Linked DNA regions of Diceros bicornis minor. Each later gene encodes a partner of the first gene's protein in a complex. Links are inferred from orthologs where the notes say so. Each region holds a gene or a part of one and is shown on either strand. Other genes may lie near its edges. The genes, in order: BICD2 and BICDL1.

Region 1 (11,049 bases):
ATCCATTTTGAGTTAATTTTGCGTCTGGTGGGAGGTGGGGTTCCAGCTTCATTCTTCTGTGTGTGGATTTCCCATTGTCCCAGGAGCATTTGTTGAAAATCAACTCACCATAAAGATGTGGGTTGATTGCTGGACTCTCGATTCTATTCCATTGATCAATTTCTGCAAAAAAAAAAAAAAAAACTCAGCTAGAATTTTAATAAAGATTGTGTTGAATACATATATTAATTTGGGGAGTGTGTCAAAGCTTCAAAGGGCGAAAGGAGCCACGTGGAGGAGGAGAGATTCTTGCAGACAATTTTTTTTTCTGGTGAGAAAGATTGGCACTGAGCTACCATCTTCCTCCATTTTGTATGTGGGACACCTCCACAGCATGGCTTGATGAGTGGTGTAGGTCCACACAAGGGATCCGAAACCGTGAACCCTGGGCCGCTGAAGCAGAGCGCATGACCCCAACCACTATGCTCCCAGGCTAGCCCCATTTGCAGATAATTTTGAGTGCTGGACAATTGCCCTGATTAAATGCCCCCTCCAGAGCTGTCCTTGCCACTGGACACTGAGGACAGGGGTGAGATCTTGGCAGGAAAGCCCAAGGACAAAGGTGTGCATTCATCGGTCAGAAGCTGGATTAGGAAAGGCACCCAAATAGCTCCCATCTCAGCAGCTATATCACTGAACAGCTACGGCAATATTTGTTCAACAACTTAACTAACTGAAACGTCCCCCTTCCAGGAACAAGAGATTGTGCAAGCCTCAAAGAAGATGGGTAAGGATGCTTATTTCTGCACTGGTGTGGTTGTAAAAGGCCAGAAACAACCTAAAAGTCCATCAGTGGAGTGGAAGTACAACACACCTATACCATGGAGTACTGTGCAGTCTTAAAAATATATGCTGACAAGAAACAGTGATAAGAAACACAAAGACCATCACACATCACATGCTGATGGGAAATAGTGTGTACCGTACCGCCATCACACATCACGTGCTGATGGGGATCAGTGTGTACAGTACATTATTTTTTTAAATGAAAAGAAATATATTCTTGTATTTCTCCTCGTGGGGGGGTTTGCTTTTCTTTGTATATATTTTTTATGTGCAAATATGTATAGGCACCGGCCTGCTGGCATAGTAGTTAAGTTCATGTGCTCCAGCAGCCCGTGGTTCCTCAGGTTCGGATCCCTAGGGCACACCTACACACGGCTTACCAAGCCACACTGTGGCAGCATCTCACATACAAAACAGAGGAAGATTGGCACAGTTGTTAGCTCAGCGACAATCTTCCTCACCAAAAAAAAAAAAAAGTATAATTTTAATATTATTAGTTTCTTTTATCTCTGACAGAAATGAGCACTTTGGGTTAAAATCTTCCTCATCAAATTTTGGCACACCATATTTTCTCAGTTATATTTCTCGTAACTATCATCAAATATCACAACCGAGAAGCTGGTATTGACACAAGCCACCCTTCTAATTCAGATCCCATGAGGTTTATGTGTACTCCGTGTGTGTGTGTCAGTTCTGTGCAATTTTATTGCCAGCGTATATTCATGTTACATATCACAGCAAGACACAGAACATTTCCATGACCATAAGGGTCCCTCATGTTGCTCTTTTATACCCTCATACACCCTCCCCAACCCAACCCCTAGCCACCACTAAAGTGTTCTCCATCTTTTTAATTTTGTTCTTTCTGAAAGGCCATATGAATGGAATCATACATTGCGTAACCTTTGGGTATTGGCTTCTTTCACTCAGTATGATTCTCTGGAGATTCACTCAGGTGGTTGTATGTATCCATAGTTCATTCTTTTTATTGCTGAGTAGTATTTCATGGTACGGCTGTACCAGTTGGTTCCACCATTAACCCAATGAAAGACTTTTTGGGTTGTTTCCGATTTGTAGGTTTTATGAATAAAGCTGCTATGAATATTTGTATACAGGCTTTTATGTGAACACAAGTTCTCATTTCTCTGAGATAAATGCCCAGGAACGAAACTACTGAGTCCTGTGGTGATGGCATGTTTGGTTTTATAAGAAAAAGCCAAAGTTTTCCAGAGTAGCTACACCATTTTACCTTCCCCAAAGAGTATATGAGCCATCCCATTTCTCCACATCTTCGTCAACATTTGTTGCTGTCACTTTTGTTGATGGTTTTTGTTTTGTTTTTTTCTATTTTAGCCATTCTGATAGGTGTTGTGAAAATTAGTAAAGGAAACCTCAACTAAAATTGGAAACAGGAAGGCCTGTAGGGGGAGCTTGACGCCCTATCAATTACTCCAAACAGGGAGAGGTACACTTGCAACTGGGGCAGGAAGGTGTTTTCTTTTCTACTTGATTACCCAGCCGGAGGAAGATTTCTCTCCCCACCCAGCAACAGCCCAGCCAGTGAGAGACTGTAGCAACCCAACCAATGCCTCTACACTTTGGACTCCCAGTTTCCTCCAATGGATTCTTCGTTTATTACAGCCCCTCCCAATTCCCCCTTTTCCTCTATAAAGCAGGCTCCTTCCTTGTTCTCTGGATTTGTCTATGGTCTGCCATAGCATGCACATCCCTAGTTGCAATTCTTTTGGTTGTTCCCAAATAAACTAATTTTGCGAGTAAAACAACTGGCCAATTTACTTTTTGTGTGTGAGGAAGATTAGCCCTGAGCTAACATCTGTTGCCAATCCTCCTCTTTTTTGCTGAGGAAGATCAGCCCTGGGCTAACATCCATGCTCGTCTTCCTCTACTTTATATGGGATGCCCCCACAGCATGGCTTGACAAGCGGTGCACTAGTGCACACTCGGGATCCAAACTCTCACACCCCGAGCTGCCAAAGCAGAGTATGCGCACTTAACCACTGCACCACCGGGCCAGACCCCCAATTTACTTTTTAAGTTGGTGGTGTGTAGTTGTACGTTTCTTTAAACTGAAATTTTAATCATGTGCATATTACCTACAAACAATAACAGTATTTTAAAAAATAAAGTCATGTAAGCAGACACATGACAGCAACCAATAAAAGGGATACCAGTGGATATCCCTTAAAATAAGGAGTAGCTTGAAGCACGAGGTCAGAATTCATGCCCATTGGTCAGGCACCTAAAAGTCAAGTGGCACTCAGATGGCAGCCTCACACATTCAGAGCAGACAGGTAAATGATTTTTTTTTTTTTTTTGTCTTTTCAGGCTTTATGAAGATAGTGCCATTGCAACATTAAAACATTTGAAAATTTTTATTAAAAAAATTCCAAAATAGACCCAAAAGTCAAGAGCACAGTGTAGCAGTGTGTGCCCCCACCCAGCTTCAACTACCATCAACAACTACTGCTTGTTTCATTATCTCCATCTCTTTTTTCTGGAGTATTTTAAAACAAACGCCAAACATCATGTTCTCCACCTGTAAGTACCTCAGGATGTATTTATATCCAAAAAGGCATTTTCTTACATAATAACACCTAAAATTAACAATAAATCCTTAATTAAAAAATGTTCAAGGAAAAATAATTCCCTACACTCCCACCACCATTCAAACCTCAGTGATTCCACTTCTCCTCCTCCAGCTCTGCAGGAGTGTGCAAGGCCCGGTTCCAGAGCTGCAAGCACAAGGACTCTCCTCTGTTTCCTCCTCTTAACATCGTGTCATGTTCAGTTCCATGTAGCCCCATCATCTTAACCAAGGGAGTTGGATGACTTTCATATACCTTTAAAAATACATTCCTTACAGACCACTTATCCCTTATGAATATTGATGCAAAAATCCTTAACAAAATACTAGCCAACCAAAATCTGCTGCATATTAAAAGGATTACATATGGTGACCAAATAGGATTTAATCCCAGAATGTAAGGATGGTTCAACATATGAAACTCAACCAATGTAATGTTGATGTGTTAATGTGGTCATTGACAGAATGAAGAGGGAAAAAACCATATGATGACCTCAATTGATGCAAAAAACCATTTGACAAAGTCTAACACTCTTTCATGATAAAAACACTCAACAAACTAGGAATAGAAGGTAACCTCCTCAACATGTAAAGGCCATACGTGAAAAACCCACAGTGAACATCATACTCAATGGTGAAAGATGGACAACTGTCCCCCTAAGATCAGGAACAAGACAAGGATGCCTGTTTCTGCCGCTTCTGTTCAACATAGTATTGAAAGTCCTAACCAGAGCAATTAGGCAAGAAAAAGAAATAAAAGGCATCCAAATTGGAAAGGGAAAAGTAAAATTATCTTTGTCCATAGATGACATGATCTCATATGTAGAAACCACTACAGATTTCATGGCAAAAAAACTATTAGAGCTAATAAACAGTTTATTCAGCAAGGTTGTAGGATACAAAATCAACACACAAAAATCAGTTGCATTTCTATACACTAATGATAATCTGAAAAGGAAATTAAGAAAACAATTCCAGTTACAATAGCTTTAAAAAAAAATAGGAATTAACCAAGGAGGGAAAAGACTTGTATATGGAAAATTGCAAAACATTGCTGAAAGAAATTAAAGACGACATACACATGGAAAGACATTCTGTATAAATGGGACTGGAAGACAATATTGTTAAGACGACACTACTACTCAAAAACTTCTACAGATTCAATGCAATCTCTATCAAGATCCCAACAGCACTTTTCGCCAAATAGAAAAACCCATCCTATAACTCATATGGAATCTCAAGGGACCCTGAATAGCCAATAGCTCACCTGGTCCTTCTCCCCTCTTTTCCGAAGGATCTCTCCCACTTAGGCTGAAGGGTGTGCCCAGGCCTGAGCGCTTCCCAGGACTCTGGACTTTCAGTGCTAAAACCAGGACAGTCCCAGGCAAACCACAGTGCTTGGACAACCTACTCCTACTGTGGTTGAACGCCTTAAAAATTATTTTTTAATTTCACAAGTAAAATTATGACACATTCTCCTCATACATTAAACGACTAAACGTAATCAGGCTCCTTGGAGAAATGGTGATTCCAGGTCTGGGATACTGAGAGTATAAGAAGATCCTGGAACAACCGGTGCCAAAGAGCAAGGAAGTGCTAACAAATTATGACCTGCTGAAGGACACGGAGCCAGCTTGGTGGAGCTCCCACCGGCTCAATCTGCCACCATTTGAGCATCTAAGTAAATACGGAGAGTAATGGGTGGTAACTCATGGAGTAAAATAAGAATCGATGGATCCACACCGCTAATGAGTGGACTGTCTTCCCTAGAACGCAAAGCTAGTAAGTGGAGAAGGAATGATGGAAATAGAAAAAAAAAATAGTATGGTAATAATTCATTTAGTGAAGAAACACCAACGAAACCTAGTGGGTTCAGGTCTGAGGCACGACAGGATATTTGCATCGTCTCAAAGCGTCCTCTCGCGGGGTATCAGCCGCGGGAAACCCAGCAGCGACCTCGGGGAAGCAATCGCGCCTCTGCCCGGACGCCGGACGCAGCACCACCTGGCAGAGTCCCGCTCCGGCCGCGAGGACACACGAGTGCACGGCCCGGCCTGCGCGCGACGCGGGGGGCGAGAGGACACGCGGCCCCGCGAGCGTGACCCGGGCCGGACGCCATGTGGTCCTGAGTCGGGTCCCGGGACCCGCAGACCCGCAGGGAAACACGCCGGGCGCCTGTCGCATCCCACTGGCGGTCGTCCCCTGCGTGCCCGTTTCCCCGGATGCGGGTCCGCGCGCGTCCCTACTAGAACCCCACACCGCGCTCGACCATCGCTCCACCCCTACGTCCTGGGCTCCGCCCGCCCCGCCGTCCGAGTCGTCGTGCGCAGGCCGCGGGCGCCGGAAGGTAGCAGTGTTTCCGGCTCTGCGACGGCAGCGGCGCGGGCCAATCACGGCCGGGGACGGGCAGGCGCGAGGCACGACGGGCCTTGTAGTCGGCGAGCAGGCGGGACTACAGCCCCCACAATGCCCCAGGGGCGGGGGCGGGGCGATAGTGATGGGAGGGGCTGCCCAGCGCGGGGCGCGGGCCAATCACGGGCTGGGACGGGCGGGCGCGGGGCACGACGGGCCGTGTAGTCGCGCGGACCGGACCGCCGCCCCCAGAGTGCCCCGCGCGACGGGGAGCGTACTGCGGCTGCGCGGCGGCGGCCCGGGCGCCGTCGGGCTGGGCGGCGGCGGGGACGGGAGCCGGCCGGAGCCTCGGTGCGAGCTGCGCGAGCCGGGCCGCGGCCACCATGTCGGCGCCGTCGGAGGAGGAGGAGTACGCGCGGCTGGTGATGGAGGCGCAGCCCGAGTGGCTGCGCGCCGAAGTGAAGCGGCTGTCGCACGAGCTGGCCGAGACCACGCGCGAGAAGATCCAGGCGGCCGAGTACGGGCTGGCGGTGCTGGAGGAGAAGCACCAGCTCAAGCTGCAGTTCGAGGAGCTCGAGGTGGACTACGAGGCCGTCCGCGGCGAGATGGAGCAGCTCAAGGAGGTGAGGGGCAGGGCCGGCCGGCCGGACCGCGACCCGACCCCGACCCCGGGCCGGGCCGACCCCCGTAGCTGGGCCGAGCGGACCCCTCGCCGGGCCAGGCTGGCCAGCACCGGGCGCCCGGGGCCGGCGTGCCCGGCGGGCCCAGCTGTGGTGTGCAGCGGGCCGTGTCTCCCGCTCCGGCAGGCCTCGGGGCGGCGGTGCGTCCTCTGCGGTGTTGGTCTCCCGGTGGGATGGGGGCGTGGGATGGGTGCAGGTCAAGGCTAGGCCACGGCCGCATCATTTCTAGCAGGTCACCTCTCCTCCTGGGTGCAGCTGCCTTCAGCGGCCTCGATGAGCGCCCTGAGGCCGGGAGGGGTGCTGGCCCTGCATGTGGCCGTCCCCGCTGGCTGGGGTCCCTCAGTCCCCTCCCCAGGCTCAGCGCTGACCTGGGCGCCCTCCCCACGCCCGTAATTCCTTCTCTGGGATCTGTACTTCTCCCACCCACCTCTTGTCCCTGCCGCCCTCCCAGGCCCTTCCTTCTGGGCGGGTGACAGGTCTGTGGGTGTTTGTCGGGAGGGAGCCTTGTGTGGTTTCCACTCCGCAATGGGGAGGTCCGACCCCCGGCTGCTGGAGAGGCTGGCGGGGAGAAAGCCAGGCAGTCCTTCCTGAAGGAGTTCTCCTGGGTGACTTAACCACCCGCTCTCCCAGTCCTCCTGACTCCCCCGCTCTGTGGTAGGGGGTGGGGAGGGAGAAGTGGCTTTCTGGGTGGAACACCCAGGTTTGGACCAAGGCCTAGCCCCTTGCTGGTGATGTGGCTGTGGGCAGGGGCCTTAGCTTCTCTTTCTGCGGCATTGCCCACGCAGAAAGGGTTGGTCTGAGGGTCGTGTGTTTGAAAAGGCCCAGTGTGGTGTCAGGCACGTGGCCTGTCGGTTTCTTTGACAGCGTGCCCCTTCTCCACCTGACTCTTCCCTTGTCCAGGTGGGCTCTTGGCCATTGGTCTCAGGATCCACCATACTTGCTGTTTCTCCAACCGCCCACCTTCCGGCAACTCTGCTGCTAGTGGCTTGGGGCAAGTGCCTGGATTGTTCAGAGCCTCCATTTCTCACTGGAGGACCAGTAGGAACCCATTATGATAGTAAAGAGGAGAGAAAGAATTAATCCTCATAGGTGCCTAAATCCATGCCTGGCAGAGCAGGTGCTCTGTTAGTATCAATAAATGATTTGGCGGGAGTGGGGGCAGGTGGTGGCTCATCTGACCCACGACCCACGGTCCTGTCATCTGTTAGCACGGATTGGCGCCTTCTCTGAGCCAGGCTCTGCTGGTGTTGGATCTACAAGAGGAGTGACATGTGGTCCCTCCTGCAAGGATGTGTGTGGGGTGGGAGGATGCACCCACTGCAGAGGGAGGCCAGGGAGCTGTGAGCATAGGAAATAGCGCACGCTCGCCCCATTCTGGTCTCCTGGGATGGGGCTCACTCTCCGCAGCTCAGAGGCAGGCCCAGCCTTCGCCTTCTCCTCAGGGTTTCTCCTGAGCCCCTGCTGGCAGCGTGCACAGTCCCCTTGTGCATTCACAAGGTCTCATCCATGTCTGCTGTAAGAAGGGACTGTTGCAGATGGAACTCATCCCAGTTTAGGGATCTTTCAGTTGTCAGCTTTTGACTTTCACAAACACAAACATTTTGGCCAATGCAAGAATCTTGGCTCGGTTTTGTGGGATGTGTTTGGAGGGTGGGTCACGGGGAACCAGGAGGAGGCTGGAGTTCTTCAGGCACCTGCTTGCTTAGTTTGGTGTCACCTCCTGGCTCCTGCCCGCACTGGCCGTATGGCCTTGGACAGGTTGCCCCACCGTCCTGACCGTCAGTTTTCCCTGTTGTAGGTGAGGTGAGAACGGTTCACCTAGAAGTTGCGGCAGAAGCTGGAGGAGGTTGCATCGTCTCGGTAGACGTTGTCTGAAAGCTCGCACCAGTTCACTCACACTCAGGCCAGCTCAGGCTCTTGTCAACCTATTGGGTTTTGGCCAGTGTCATGCTTGAAAATGTTAATTCTTATTTTGAAAACCAAGACTTAAGGAGATGATATTCATTGGGTCTTTTCTTTTTTGTCCTGTGAAGTGAACCATCTTTATTCTTTTAAAACTTTATTTCTTGAACTGAAATGGGTCCAGTTACTTACAGTTTGTGCTACAAATGGAGGTGCTGTGCTCCTGCCGGCATTTGTAGATAATGCCTTTTCTGAGGGAGGGATGCTGGCTGGCTGGTCCCGGTTGAGTGGGGTCGTGCTGAGGAAGGTCCAGTGGTGGGCCAGTGGGTGGCAGAGCTGGCACTGCAGCCTTTCTCCCTTGGTGAGTATGTGTACGTCCTTGTCTGTGTCCTGCCAACACCATGGTGTGTGTTTGAGGGGCACCCGCTGGCCCGTTTTGCCTAATCATTTTGCTGGTGATTGAGCCTGGCTTAATAAGGGCCCCCTCTGTCCCAGGTCCCACTGTGCCACTCCCCGCCATGGTGGGGAAGAAAATCGGGTGGACCTTGGTCAGCCACGTGGTATTTCCTGTCCTGAGTGGCCGTGGGACACCCCGCTCTGTGTCCTCAGGTGCACCTTCAAGGGAACAGGTGTGCTGGGGTGGCAGCTCTTGCCTACAGGGCTGAGGCAGGTCCCAGGAGTGGGTGGTCTTTGTGGGTGGGGATGTGAGGGCTGGAGAGCATGCCTCAGGCCAGGAGTGGGGTCCTGGTGCAGTCTCAGCCCCACCCTCTCTGGGCTCCCCGAGAAAGCAGGAAGACCGGGTCTGGACGCCCTCGATGCTGTCTGTGTCACCTCGGGAACTGGTCTGTGCACTTAGGTCTGGGGAAGCAGTGAGTGGAGTTTGGTGAGCTGCAAGTGTCACAGGCTGGGCATGGGGCCCGGCACCCGGCAAGTGCTGACTCAGTAAGTGTCTGCTGGCTGGTGTCGTCGGCTCCTTGCCTCCACCTAACTTGGGCCTGGATCCCCTCCCGGCCGTCCCGGCGGCCACCTGGCCTCTGTTCCTTGTCCTGGCGTGGTCTGGAGCAGCCCTGCTGCCTCTCTCAGAGGGCGGCATGCACTGCTTCCCCTCCTCTGTTCCCTATCCCTGCTGCCTTTGCTGTTGTCACCCTTCTCCTGCCAGAGCTTCAAGGCCTGGACGCTTCTGTGAGCCTCCTCTGCCGCCTGTGGACTTGCCTGAGCCCAGCACCCAACTCCGGGGTGTCCCTTCCTTCCTGCAGGATGAAGGGCTGGGGCAGAGCTGGTGGGAGCAGCTGCTCTGTTCCCTTCGCTCCCTCCCTCTCCTCCCTCTTGTGATCTTCTCTCCCAGGGGATGAGGAAGCAGAGCTGGGGGTGTGTGGGAGTGACTGAGGAGGGCCCAGAGCCCAGACCAAGTTGGAAGGGGTCCTCGGGCACCAGGTTCTCATCCAAGTCCTTGTGTGGAAGTCATGGCTATGAGCCCGTTGAGTCCCACGGCCTCACCCCTGTAGGTGACCTGCTCCTGCTGTAGCCTCCCCACGCCCACTGACTCCTCCAGTCCACACACCAGCCCTCAGGGTCACCACCCCACCGATGCAGGCCAGGCACCTCACGCTTGACTTTTCTTTTTCTTTTTTAAAAAATTGGCGGAGTGCTGCCTTCAGCTGGTGCAAGGCCTGGCTTTTGCATTGTTGGGTCGTTGCCGCCCTCCAGTTCATTTGTTAGACCAGCCTTTGTTGTGTCTCCTCTGCCCGCCCAGGGGCTCATGGTCACCCATCCAGTGTGTCCTGACTGGGACGCCGAGAGGTGCATAGCTGTCTCTGAACCAGGAGGGAGAAGCTGTCCTGTCCCCGTTCCACAGGTGGAAATGCCAGGTCTCAGAGTGAGGGCTGTGTGTCAGCAAGGCATGATGTGACCCTGAGCAGTCCCCTCCCTGAAGCCCTGGCAGTGGAGCAGCTTCTCCCCTGGTGATGGCGTCAGGGTGGCCTGGGACCCCACTCTGCAGGCCCCTGTCATTGCTCCCTGGGCCGCCTGGGTGCTCTCCTCCCTCCTTCCCCTCACACCCTGTCTGGCATGCACTGCAGAGATCCCGGCTTGTCCCCCAGCCTGAGGGATTCCCTGGATGGTCAGAGAGGACACTGACCCCCGGAACGGGGTGCGCCAGGCGGGCTGTCTACAGCTGTGAACCTGCGGCCCTGCCTGCTGTCACCCGGTCGCCTGGTGCAGAGGCTGAGATTATGGACATTCCACCCAGTCAGGCGAGTGCAGACTCACGCAGCAGCTACGAGCAAGTCTGTGTTCTCGCCAGCACAGTGTCCTCCGACGGTCATCGTGGCCAGTGGTGAGGAGAAGTGCTGTCGCGTCCCTCGGGTCTGATTGATTTCTTCTTCTGTGAAGCAGTCTGTTCCGCCATAGCACTTGTTTTGAAGACGGGAGTTTGTTCCAGAGTGGTTGATGTTGGAGGGAACAGCGTGAGCATGAGAATTTAGCATTTGCTTCTGTGCCATTTAGTTCCCAGAAGACACTAGGCGAACACAGAACCTGCACCCTGCCACCCACCCACCTGCTTTCCGTCCAGTTTCAGACACCGCCTCCCCACCGGGACGCCACGCCCAGCGCCAGCCTCAGGGCTTTGTCAAGATAAAGTGCGTTGCAGCATTTTTGTGTTTTAACTATTTAACATGTGTAAAA
Region 2 (10,498 bases), on another chromosome or scaffold:
AAAGTTAATATCAAAACTGTCTAGGTCATCAAAAAGAAGGAAAATCTAAGTAACTGTCACAGCAAAGAGGAGACTAAGAAGATATGAAAACTAAATGTAATGTGGTATCCTGGATGGGATCCTAGAACAGAAAAAGACATTAGGTAAAGGCTAAGGAAATCTGAATAAACTAAGGACTTTAGTTAATAATAATTGTATCAATATTGGTTCCCTAATTATGGCAAGCGTACCACATTAATGTAAGATGTTAATAACAGAGGAAACGGTGCAGGGCATATGGAAACTCTCTGCCATCTTTCAACTTTTCTGTAAATCTAAAACCATTCTAAAAAAATAAAGTTTATTTAAAACTCTGAAAACACAAAAGTTAATATCATTAGCCTACCTAAAATTGGTTGTTAAAAATATAGATTTCTGCAAAGAACCAAAAAGCAACACCATTCTCATAAATCCAGCATACAGTTCTGGAAAAATACAAAGAAAAAGCACTATTTTTTAAGTGGACTGAGCACTGAATGCATATAAGGACTTCTGGGTTTGTTTCCCTAAATCTACGAGTGACTCCCACTATGTAATCATTTTCATCTTACTTGTTCTGCCCTCTTCAAAAAATGGTACCAGAATCATGAGAATTGGCCTACGAAAGGGGGAAGAAAATGTAATTGAGGAAAAAGACTATCTCTGCAGTAAGAGATAACTCCCTCTTAGCTGGAATGGGAAAAAAGGGGATCCTGTACATTAAAAACAATAATTTTTAAAACTAAATAAATATTTAATCTCTAAAGAAAAAAAGTGTATAAATGCAAGTTATTGTCTTATTTCATATTCTGGGGAAAAAACTAAGGACCTGGCTGGATATAAGTTTTAAAAGCAAAAGGGCTAACTGTAGATGCAGAAGAAATAAATTTTTAAAAATGTGTTTAGAACTTTAAGCATATAAAAATCTGATTCAGTGAATGAATAAAATACAACACAGTCAATTTAAGGGTGGAAAAAAATGACCAAAACCTTACAGTCTTTCAAATTAAACTGAATCTTCACTTTAGCCCTCTTCATTTTAAGAGATGTATAGCTAACAAACTTCTGTGTTAACCTTTAAACCATTAAAGACTTTAAAGAGTGTGCCTCGAATGAGAAAGCAGTGTAAGATCAAGTACTTTATGTTTTAAACGATAAAACAAAATCTTGGGTTTGGCACACAGACCTGGAAAGATATTCAATATTAACTAATGAATAGGTAGAAATATAGATCTTGAAAATGGCTAATTGGTCCTGAAGTTAGACAGGTGCCAATTTTTTTTTTTTTTTTTTTGTGAGGAAGATCAGCCCTGAGCTAACATCTGCCAATCCTCCTCTTTTTGCTGAGGAGGACCAGCCCTGGGCCAACATCCGCGCCCATCTTCCTCCACTTTATATGGGATGCTGCCACAGCATGGCTTGACAAGCAGTATGTCGGTGTGCACCCGGGATCCGGGCCGGCGAACCCTGGGCCACCACAGCGGAGCTCGAGCACTTAACCACTTGCGCCACCGGGCCGGCCCCAGAAAGGTGCCAATTTTGTAGTAGTAAGGAAGCAGATAGGACTAAAACAAAACCAGTCTCATTATTTAATAGTCAAACCAACATTCTCTCAGACTCCACTCACGCATTTATCTTTCAAACCAACCTGTGAGAAAATGTGTTTGACTCCACTGGCTGACAGTTTGTGGAAAATTACAAACGCTTTTTAAAGTAAGGGCTGGTTCTCTACTCCTAAATGTTTAATTTAATTGAAAATATATCAGCGTGGCTGTGTTAAACTCGAGAAAGTATTTTGTCTAAACAGACATTCTAAAATCTAGGCTGCTTAAAAAATATATGGTGGGGGAGGGCTGGCCTCGTGGCTTAGCGGTTAAGTGCGGGAGCTCCGCTACTGGCGGCCCAGTTGGGATCCCGGGCCCGCACCCACGCACTGCTTCTCCCGCCATGCTGAGGCCGTGTCCCACATACAGCAACTAGAAGGATGTGCAGCTATGACATACAACTATCTACTGGGGCTTTGGGGAAAAATAAATAAATAAAAATTAAAAAAAAAAAATATGGTGGGGGAAATTCACTTGCAGGTATTAACTGAAATATCCCATTAATCAGGTTTGGCACTCTAATAATAACACTAAAAGAATTAACAAGGAGCTAATGACATTATCTTTGTAAGATATTTTTAAATGTATGTTTAAAAAAAACCTAAAAATTTTTTATGATAATTTTTAAATACACCTAGAAGAAATAGTATAACTGAATCCCCCCATCACTCAGCTTCAATAATGGTCAATACTTGACTTTTTAAAAATAACCTTTAAAAAATGTTAGTTTTTTAATTGTGGTAAAGTATACATAAAATTTACCATCTTAACCATTTTTAAGTGTACAGTTCAGTAGTGTTAAGTACCTTCACACTGTTGGGCAACAAACCTCCAGAAATCAAAAATAAACTTTTAACACCAGAGTTCATATGCTGACCTGTTGAGGTGTGAAGATTTAAAAAAATAAGAGTTTTAAACTATTTTATTATTGTCTATTAACTCAAGACAAAAAGTCAAAGGAAACTTACTTTTTAATAACAGAAACTTTCTTGTTATAGAATTTTGAAATCTTTTTCCTCTGTTGAAGAAATGTATAAAGGCTCCACATGGAACCCAGGATGTGTGTAATTGCATATTCAGGATTATTCTGACAGCTGTCACTAATCAAACTGACTGATATGATGTTCCTTTCAAGTTATGTGTCTCTTCAATCACGTCCCTCACTGAAGGAATTTAAATCACACGTATAAATCTCTGCAGTCGTACTTCTATATAGAGTCGTGTAATCGAATCTCTTTTTGAAAAAAAGATACCCTTTCATTTCAAGACCTCCACTTCAAATGAAAATTAAACAGTTCAATTCATTGGGTTGCTTTTTGGCAGTCTACCCATAGGTTTCACAAACCACTTTTCAAAGAGGTATCTCGGGAGTTCATCGACTGGCAGACCTAGTGAACAGGCCAACTGAACTACAGGGCACTCACTGGTTTCCTTTTTTCTCTCTGATTCACTTTTGATATGTTAGACTACAGACACACTTAACTCTTATTCTAGAAAAGTTTCTGAATCTACATTCTGACAGTTCAACCAGTAGCAGTGATATGGTACCAGACTAGGGTCAATTTCAGATGTCATTCAGGACTGTACTATTCTCTTGTAACTAAGAATAAAAAGAACTGTTTGCAACCAAACTGGGTAACAATAGTAAACGCACAGGCAGAAAAGGATAAGCTCGTCTCCACTGCCATACTCTCCTCTCCTTTTTAAAATCTCCCTAATTTTTAAATATGCGGCATTCCGTACTACTTTCAAGGCCCCTTCTAGTTAAGGGCAAGAGAACAAACAGGGATAGCTCCAAAAGACTTTGGTCCAGAGAATCAGCAGAAATCTTACAATACTTTAAAGGGTATTTATAATAATGAAGTAACATGGTTCTCATAGGTTGCATTTGGCCATCCAGTTGCATGTGTGAGGCCCAGAACACAGAAAAATACTGTTTAAATACACATGAATACTGGGGTCCAAATTAAATCCACTACCAATGGTCACATGCTGAGCCCAGGCTCGCCTGATTTCTGCAATGGAACCACATTTCCTAATCCCTGAGTATTTGAAGGGTACATAAAGCTCCTTTAGAGGCACTTGTTTCCCACAACTCTGAGCTCCCGGGAAGTTAAGACAAGGGCATCTGGAAGCCTTAACGCCAGAACTGGAAAGCTCCAGGCTAACACCCTGATTAGAGATTAACCACTCCAAAAACCGGGAGTGTATTTTAAATGCTTTCCGACGTTCTCATTTCTCTGCGTGCACACAGCACCTCAGTGCTGTATAAATTAGTCATACTGTAAGCTCTATTTTAGATGCTGTGTACAGTACATATATAGAACGGCCCACAGCGCTTGGAGGTGTGCATGGACCCATTTCCTGCGAGCAGGGTGAGAAAGTCAGGTGGGTTCAATGGATGCCTTGGTCTGATAATCCGAAACCCTCCATTCTACCCCCTTCCTAGGCGGTTTTCTGTGAGGGAGGGTGAGCAAAGAAGGAAGGGGTGGGGTGGGTGGCTCCCGAAGCTGCCCAGGGCCGGGCGGGGGGTGCCTGGGCTCCCTCTGCTTCCTACCCATCCCAGAAGGGACGTCCTCACCTCCAGCTTATCCGTCAGCTCCTTGTGCATCTGCTCGTACTGCCGGCTCATGTCCTGGTTCCTCTCGAGCAGCGCCTTGCCCAGCCGGGCCGCCAACACCAGATCCTTCTCCTTCTGCCGGATCACCGACAGCAGCTCGGGATCCTGGGCGGGGGGCGGCTGCGGTCCGGTCCCCTCGGCCGGAGGCCCGGGCTCGGCCTGAGGATGCTCCCCGGGGTCGGACGGCCGTTCCCCGGTCGCCAGCAGCGCCAGCTCCTCCTCTAACGCCAGTTCCAGCTCCCCGGGGCCCCCGGTGAAGGAGATGAGGGCGGCGGCGGCGGCGGCTGGACTCCCGACTGCGTCCGCGGCCGCGGCGGGCAGCTCCATGCAGCAGGCGCTGTCCGGCTCAGCGGGTGCTGAAGCGCGGCCGGCCAAGCCCAGGCAGAAGGCGGACATGGCCCGCGCGCGCGGAGCCCGCAGCGGTGCGGCCCGGCCGGCGCGCGCCAGGCTGCAGGGGGGAGGGGCCCCGCCGCGCTGCCCCGCGCCCCGCGCCTCGCCTCGCGCCGCGGCACGCGCCCCCCGGGGCCCCCGGAGCCCTGGGCGCGGCGCGCGCCGGCCGCCCCTCCCCCGCGCCGCGGCACGCGCCCCCGCCCCCGCTCAGCTGCTCGGCGCGCGCTGGGGAGGAGGAGGGGGTGGCAGAGGGAAGGCGGAGGAAGGGAAGGCTGAGGGGCCGCGAAGCGGGAGGAGAGGCGGCAAGGGGGAACGCCGCCGCCGGGTTTTTAGCCGCCCTGTTGCTGCTGCTGCTGCTGCCGCTGCCGCCGCCGGCCCGGCAGCGCCTCACGGGGCGGGCTGCGCTCCGCTGTCGGTGCGACGCTCGCTGCTGCTGCTGCCGGCGGCCGCTCTCTGCAGCCGCGCTCCATGTCCCTCGGCTCGGCGGCAGCCCCAGCGGCAGCAGCGGCGGCGGCGGCGGCTGCTGCTGCAAGCGCCGAGGCGGCGGCTCCACATCGCGCGCCGCGCAGCCCGGCGAGCTCCTTCCTGCCTCCCTCGGCTCCTCCCGTTCACCCGGCCGGCCGCACCCCGCCCCGGGCTTCCGGCCGCGCCCCCTCTCCCCGCCCCTTGCCGGCGCCTGACGCGCGCGGGCACCTGTTCGCCGCGCCCGCGCGGGATTCGCCGGCTCGCGGGTCTCCTCAGCGGCGCCCAGGTGGCGCCGGCGGCCTTAACCCCTGCGCTGCCTCAAGCCTGGCGGCGGCTGCGCGCGCACCGCCTGCGGAGGCGGCTGGCGCGTCCGTAACGGTCGGGCTGCTCCCCCCGGCGCGGCCACGCCCCCGGCCTCGCGCCCCCGGCGGGGTGTGGCCCCGCCCCCAGCACGAACACCTCGGAGCGCGGCCCCGCCCCCGGCCTCGTTCCCACCTTGGTGCACCGCCCCGCCTCCCGCCTCGTTCTCACCTCCGGGCGCGACCCCCCCCCCCGCCTCGCTCTCCTGTGCTGGGCGTTTCTCGGAGTCTGTTGCGGCTCAGTTTCGTCGTCGCCTTTTAGGTGGTCTCCAAGGGTACTGGGGACATTCCTCCAAGACGGGTGGCCAAGCCCCAAGAGAGACTCATAGTCATGGAATTTGGGTCTGGCCCCCACGAGAGCTAAGCAGTCAGGAGAGGGAGCCCTAGAGAGCAGTAGGAGAAGGGATGACTTCAGAAACCCGGCGTCTTAATGATGATGACTCAGGGATATGAGGGACCAGATGCCTCGGAGATCTACAGCCCCGAAAGAAAGAGGTTATGTTGAGAAATAACGGAAAAAACTGCTCACAGATGGAAATACGAAGCAAAGACTCTCCCTAATAATAACTTCCATTTATTAGGCAGTTAGTATGTACTATGTCTTGTGTTAAGTGCTTTATATGCATTAGCTTAGATAATCCTCACAAGAATCTTATAAAGTAAGTACTGTGACTCTCCCCATTTTACAGAGTAGGAAATTGGAGCCTCCAGAGATACAAGATCAGATCCAGGCAGGCTGACTCCAGGGTTCATGTAAATCGTTATCCTTACTTTCCTTACATATAAGTCTTGAGGAAGATAAATGGTAATTTGTGAGGGAGATGACCTGGGTGGATATCGAAGGTAGTTTCAGGAAAGCTTCCTGCAATGATCAAAAGATTGAAGAGCCTACTGGGTGATTCCTGTCAGTTCTTGCTTTGACCTCATTGGTGATGCTCTGTCTCCTATTTTCAGAAACAATCCCATCTGAAGCTAGAATTGCTCCCTAATTCTTTCCCTTTTCTTTTGGACAGCAACCTGCTTTTTAGTTAAATCATACCTTTATTCTTTTCATCACAGTGAGATGGAAATTTCAGGACACCAAGAGGCTGAAATGGGCCAAATGGTTTCTCATGGCTTTTATTCCTTATTAAATTCAGAACTTAAACAATATTCGGGTATATACATCACTTTCTACCCTCAGTCTGAAAGGTGAGAATTGGAAAGGGCTTGAGCCTCAGGGCTGGCTTCGTTTGCTTGTTGATTGGAAAGGAGACAGACCACGGAGGGGTTCCTACATCAATCTTAGAGCTAGATTTTGGAAGTTGACAGTGGTATCATTTCAGTCATGAACTGTTCTAACACTATATTATGCCCTCTTGAGCAGAAATTGTGGGCCCATGGTGAAATCCAATTGCAACTCTCTTTTGATTAGGAAAGGACAAGTTTCTCCCTAATCTATTTATAGAGACACATATCAAGAGCAAACAATTCCTAATCAAAAGGGATTTCAGCTATTTATTTTTCCTTGATGCAGACTTGCAGCCTGTCTTTCCTAAAAGATCTTTGGCTTGCCTTTGTTGAACTCAATGGTCCTACTCTATTAGATTTACCTTAGTTAGAATGAACTCTCCACAGTGCTAACTCTAGCTCCTGAAGATCCTTCCTCACAATGTTCCTGCCTAACCTGACTAGGAAGTGATTGTTTTCTACTGTAGGTTTGGCCCTAAGCGCTATCTTCCTGTGAATGGTCGAAGGAGACCAGTTCAAGTTTGGAGAACTATTTAGAATAGTGGTTCGTAACTTTTTGGTCTCAGAACCTCTTTATACTCTTAAAAATTATTGATGATCTCAAAAACCTTTAGTTTATATAGGTTTACATATTGATATTTAAAAATTAAAACAAAAATTTAAAATGCTTATAATAAACCTATTACATTTTAACACGATACATTTTAATGAAAAATAACTATATAATCCCAAGTAAAAAAAAATGAGTGAGAGGAGTGGCATTATTTTTCATTTTTGCAAATCTCCTTGATGATTGGCTTGATAGTAGAAAACTGGATTTTTGTATCTGTGTCTCCATTGAATGTGATATTTCATTTTGATTGAAACAAAATGATTGATGAAGAAAATCTGGTCTCACAAAGATGTAGTTGGGAAAAGGAGGAATTATTTTAATAGCCTTTTCAGATCATTGTGGATATTTTTCTTTGATATTACACCAAAATTTGACAAGTGATAGCTTCTTAAAGGTTAGTTGCAATGTGGAATCCAAAACTATATCAAGGAAATCCATTGATCTATCTTCCACTTTGAATGGATCTTGTACCTACATGTGATTGATTCTGTAACAGCATGTATTGGTCATTTGGAAAATATTTGTTCACTGAGTCGTGCAGATCTTCCAAATATTGTCACATGTAATTATACTATATATTGAAAAATCACTCTGATCTCATCAGAAAAGTAAGTATTAGCAAGCTATCAAGCTCATTGAGGTGGATATGAATTTTCCAAAATTCTTATTCCTACTTGAAAGCTCCAATTTTATCATTTGTAATAATATTGTCTGTTTTCCCTGAAGTGACAGACTTGCTTCATTAATTTTTGAGAAAATGTCTGTCAAATACCCAAATCTGAATACCATCGTTTGTCAGTCATTCATTCAAGGAAAAATGGTGTTCCATGAAAAACGTGGCTAGTTCAGCTCACAACTCAAATGATGGTACAAGTGCTTTATCTCAACACAACTATTGTAGTTAGATATGCAGCAGAAGTGCTTTATGGATACCTCTCATTTAATATAAGTACAGGATTTAATACAAGTACTGCTTCATCAGGGACGTTCTTAGGTGAAACTACATTTTTTCTTCCTGTGAGTACATGGTAGTGAAGAATAACATGTCTACCAGTACACTTGAGTACCACGGCCTTGATTCCTGCTAAGGTATCAGTAGTATTACCCGCCATTGCTTTTGCACCATCAGTGCAAATGTCAACACAGTGAAAAATGAAAATACTATTAGACAATTAGTATTATTATGTAATTAGTTTTACTATTATTAATAAAATTAGAATCACTATCATTGCAATTATTATGAAAATAATGTTTACTTCGTAGGCCCCCCTGAAAAGGTCTTTGGGACCTTCAGGAGTTGGTGAACCACACTTTGAGAACTGTTGATTTAGAGCCACTCAAGACTATTAGCTCAGTCTTGCACTAAGAAGAAAGAACAAGTTCTTGCATACAAGGAAATTAGTGCCAGGATTGAAAACTCATCAAAGCAAAGTTATGAAAACCCTCAGTCTTCTAAAACTTATTTAGTTTATTCTGCTTCACACTGGAACAAAGTAGGTAAAATATATTTAGCACTACATTCCTTAAATCCTTTATATGACATTTCATTTAATCCTCACAATAACTCTATAATGCTACTATGTAACACCAATATATACCACTACATGATACTAAGATGCTAGTATTTTAGGCCTGTATGACTCTAAAATGCTTGCTTTTAGTTACCATGCCTCACTTCACATTTTTATCATTCAGATATTCCTTTAAATATATTTGCATTAGTGTTACTTTTGGTACCTGGATATTCTGGTGAACTTGGGTATGACCCATCTTAACATATCATGGATGGATTTCCACGTAAGTGCTGTTACATTATTAAGGGCAAAACATGAAATTTTCTTTCTTAGAAATCCCAATATTTCCAAATATGACAACACTCATCGAATTTCCCCAAGTTGTTTATTTTTATTAACATCTTGATCTGCAAAGCTGGAAAGTGTAAAAGACAAAACATTTTCCAGAAAATTTGTTTTTGAAAAGTCGAGTGTTGAAGACACATGAGGAGCTGGCAAAACGTGATAAAGCAGTTCTACGCTTGGTATTTTCATTCAGCAATTACAAGTGTGTGTGCATTTTTTAAGTTATATATTTTATTTATGAACTAGTCGTGGGAACATAAAAGTCTCAAAAATGCCTCAAATGTTACCCAAAAGCTTTTTATGTTTTTTGGAGATGAATTGATTCAACATTTTGCAAAATGTGGTGTATTTACCCCTAGTGATTCTTAAGTTGATTTTTAAGGGAAAAAACATTAAGTTCAGTGGCTGGTGCTCACCAGCATCAGTCTTTAGCAGACACCTTGCCCTGCCTGGTGTGGGAATGTGCTTTCTCTGCTACCCATCATGATGCCCCAGCTTGCCCTGCTGTCACCCCTTCCCAGCCCCACCTAAATTGCCGCAACTCCTCCCATTTCTAGGTGCTCACCTTGACAGCTCCCTCACTCATTCCCCCTCACCCCCCTCCCACCCCTCGCTGGGGCCTTTACTTCCACCCCACACTCCCTTTTACCTTTTCTCAGATCACCTTTCTGCCTGAATTTCCACCTCCACCCTCCTTATTTCCCCACCCTGCCAAGCTTTTTGTTTCTCTCGGCCTGGCGCTCTTTACTTAGTCAAAGCCTCATCTCCCTGGTTCCCTCTCCCCCAGATCCAGTCCCTTCCCATCACCATCCCTGCCCAACTTTTCTCTTCCAGGTGAGAGTTCGCCTCTCCCAAGGATTAGCTTAACACCCCAGGTCTTAGCTGCATTTTTACCTCTGCTCATTATTTCCTGACTATTCAGGAAATACTTTGGAGTTTTCAGCTCCAGACTCATGTTTCAGCTCCTTCTCATCAGGCATTTCCAGATTTTGCCCTTACTGATTAAGAGCATGGACTCTGGAGCCAGACTCCCTGGGCTGGAATCCCAGTGCTGCCACTTATCAGTTGGGTCATCTTAGACGTGTATGCCTCAGTATCCTCATTCATAAAATGAGGATAATAGTAGTACTTACCTAATAAGGTCATTATTAAGCCCAAAAGATTTCATATATGTAAAGCACTTAAAATGGTGCCTGGCACATGGTAGGTACAATATGGGTGTTTGATAAATAAATAAATATGTAAAATAACTGAGCACAGATCTCTCCCTCTGACACCATGATCTTTCCTAACTTTTACGTCTGTCTTCTTCTGTCTTATATGCCTGTTTCCTTTCAAAA

Evidence for each region.
Region 2: BICD2 (region 1) and BICDL1 share a complex: the UniProt entries of both Homo sapiens proteins name them as parts of the tripartite complex. The link is inferred for Diceros bicornis minor from reciprocal best matches to the Homo sapiens genes BICD2 and BICDL1.

The regions. Positions count from the first base shown.
Region 1 is NC_080761.1:58,963,396-58,974,444, forward strand, and holds the start of BICD2 (protein bicaudal D homolog 2), read left to right. Parts: upstream 1-6,110; 5' UTR 6,111-6,165; coding exon 6,166-6,405; intron 6,406-11,049. UniProt on the Homo sapiens protein: Acts as an adapter protein linking the dynein motor complex to various cargos and converts dynein from a non-processive to a highly processive motor in the presence of dynactin.
Region 2 is NC_080774.1:16,565,325-16,575,822, reverse strand, and holds the start of BICDL1 (BICD family-like cargo adapter 1), read right to left. Parts: upstream 4,681-10,498; 5' UTR 4,639-4,680; coding exon 4,204-4,638; intron 1-4,203. UniProt on the Homo sapiens protein: Acts as an adapter protein linking the dynein motor complex to various cargos and converts dynein from a non-processive to a highly processive motor in the presence of dynactin.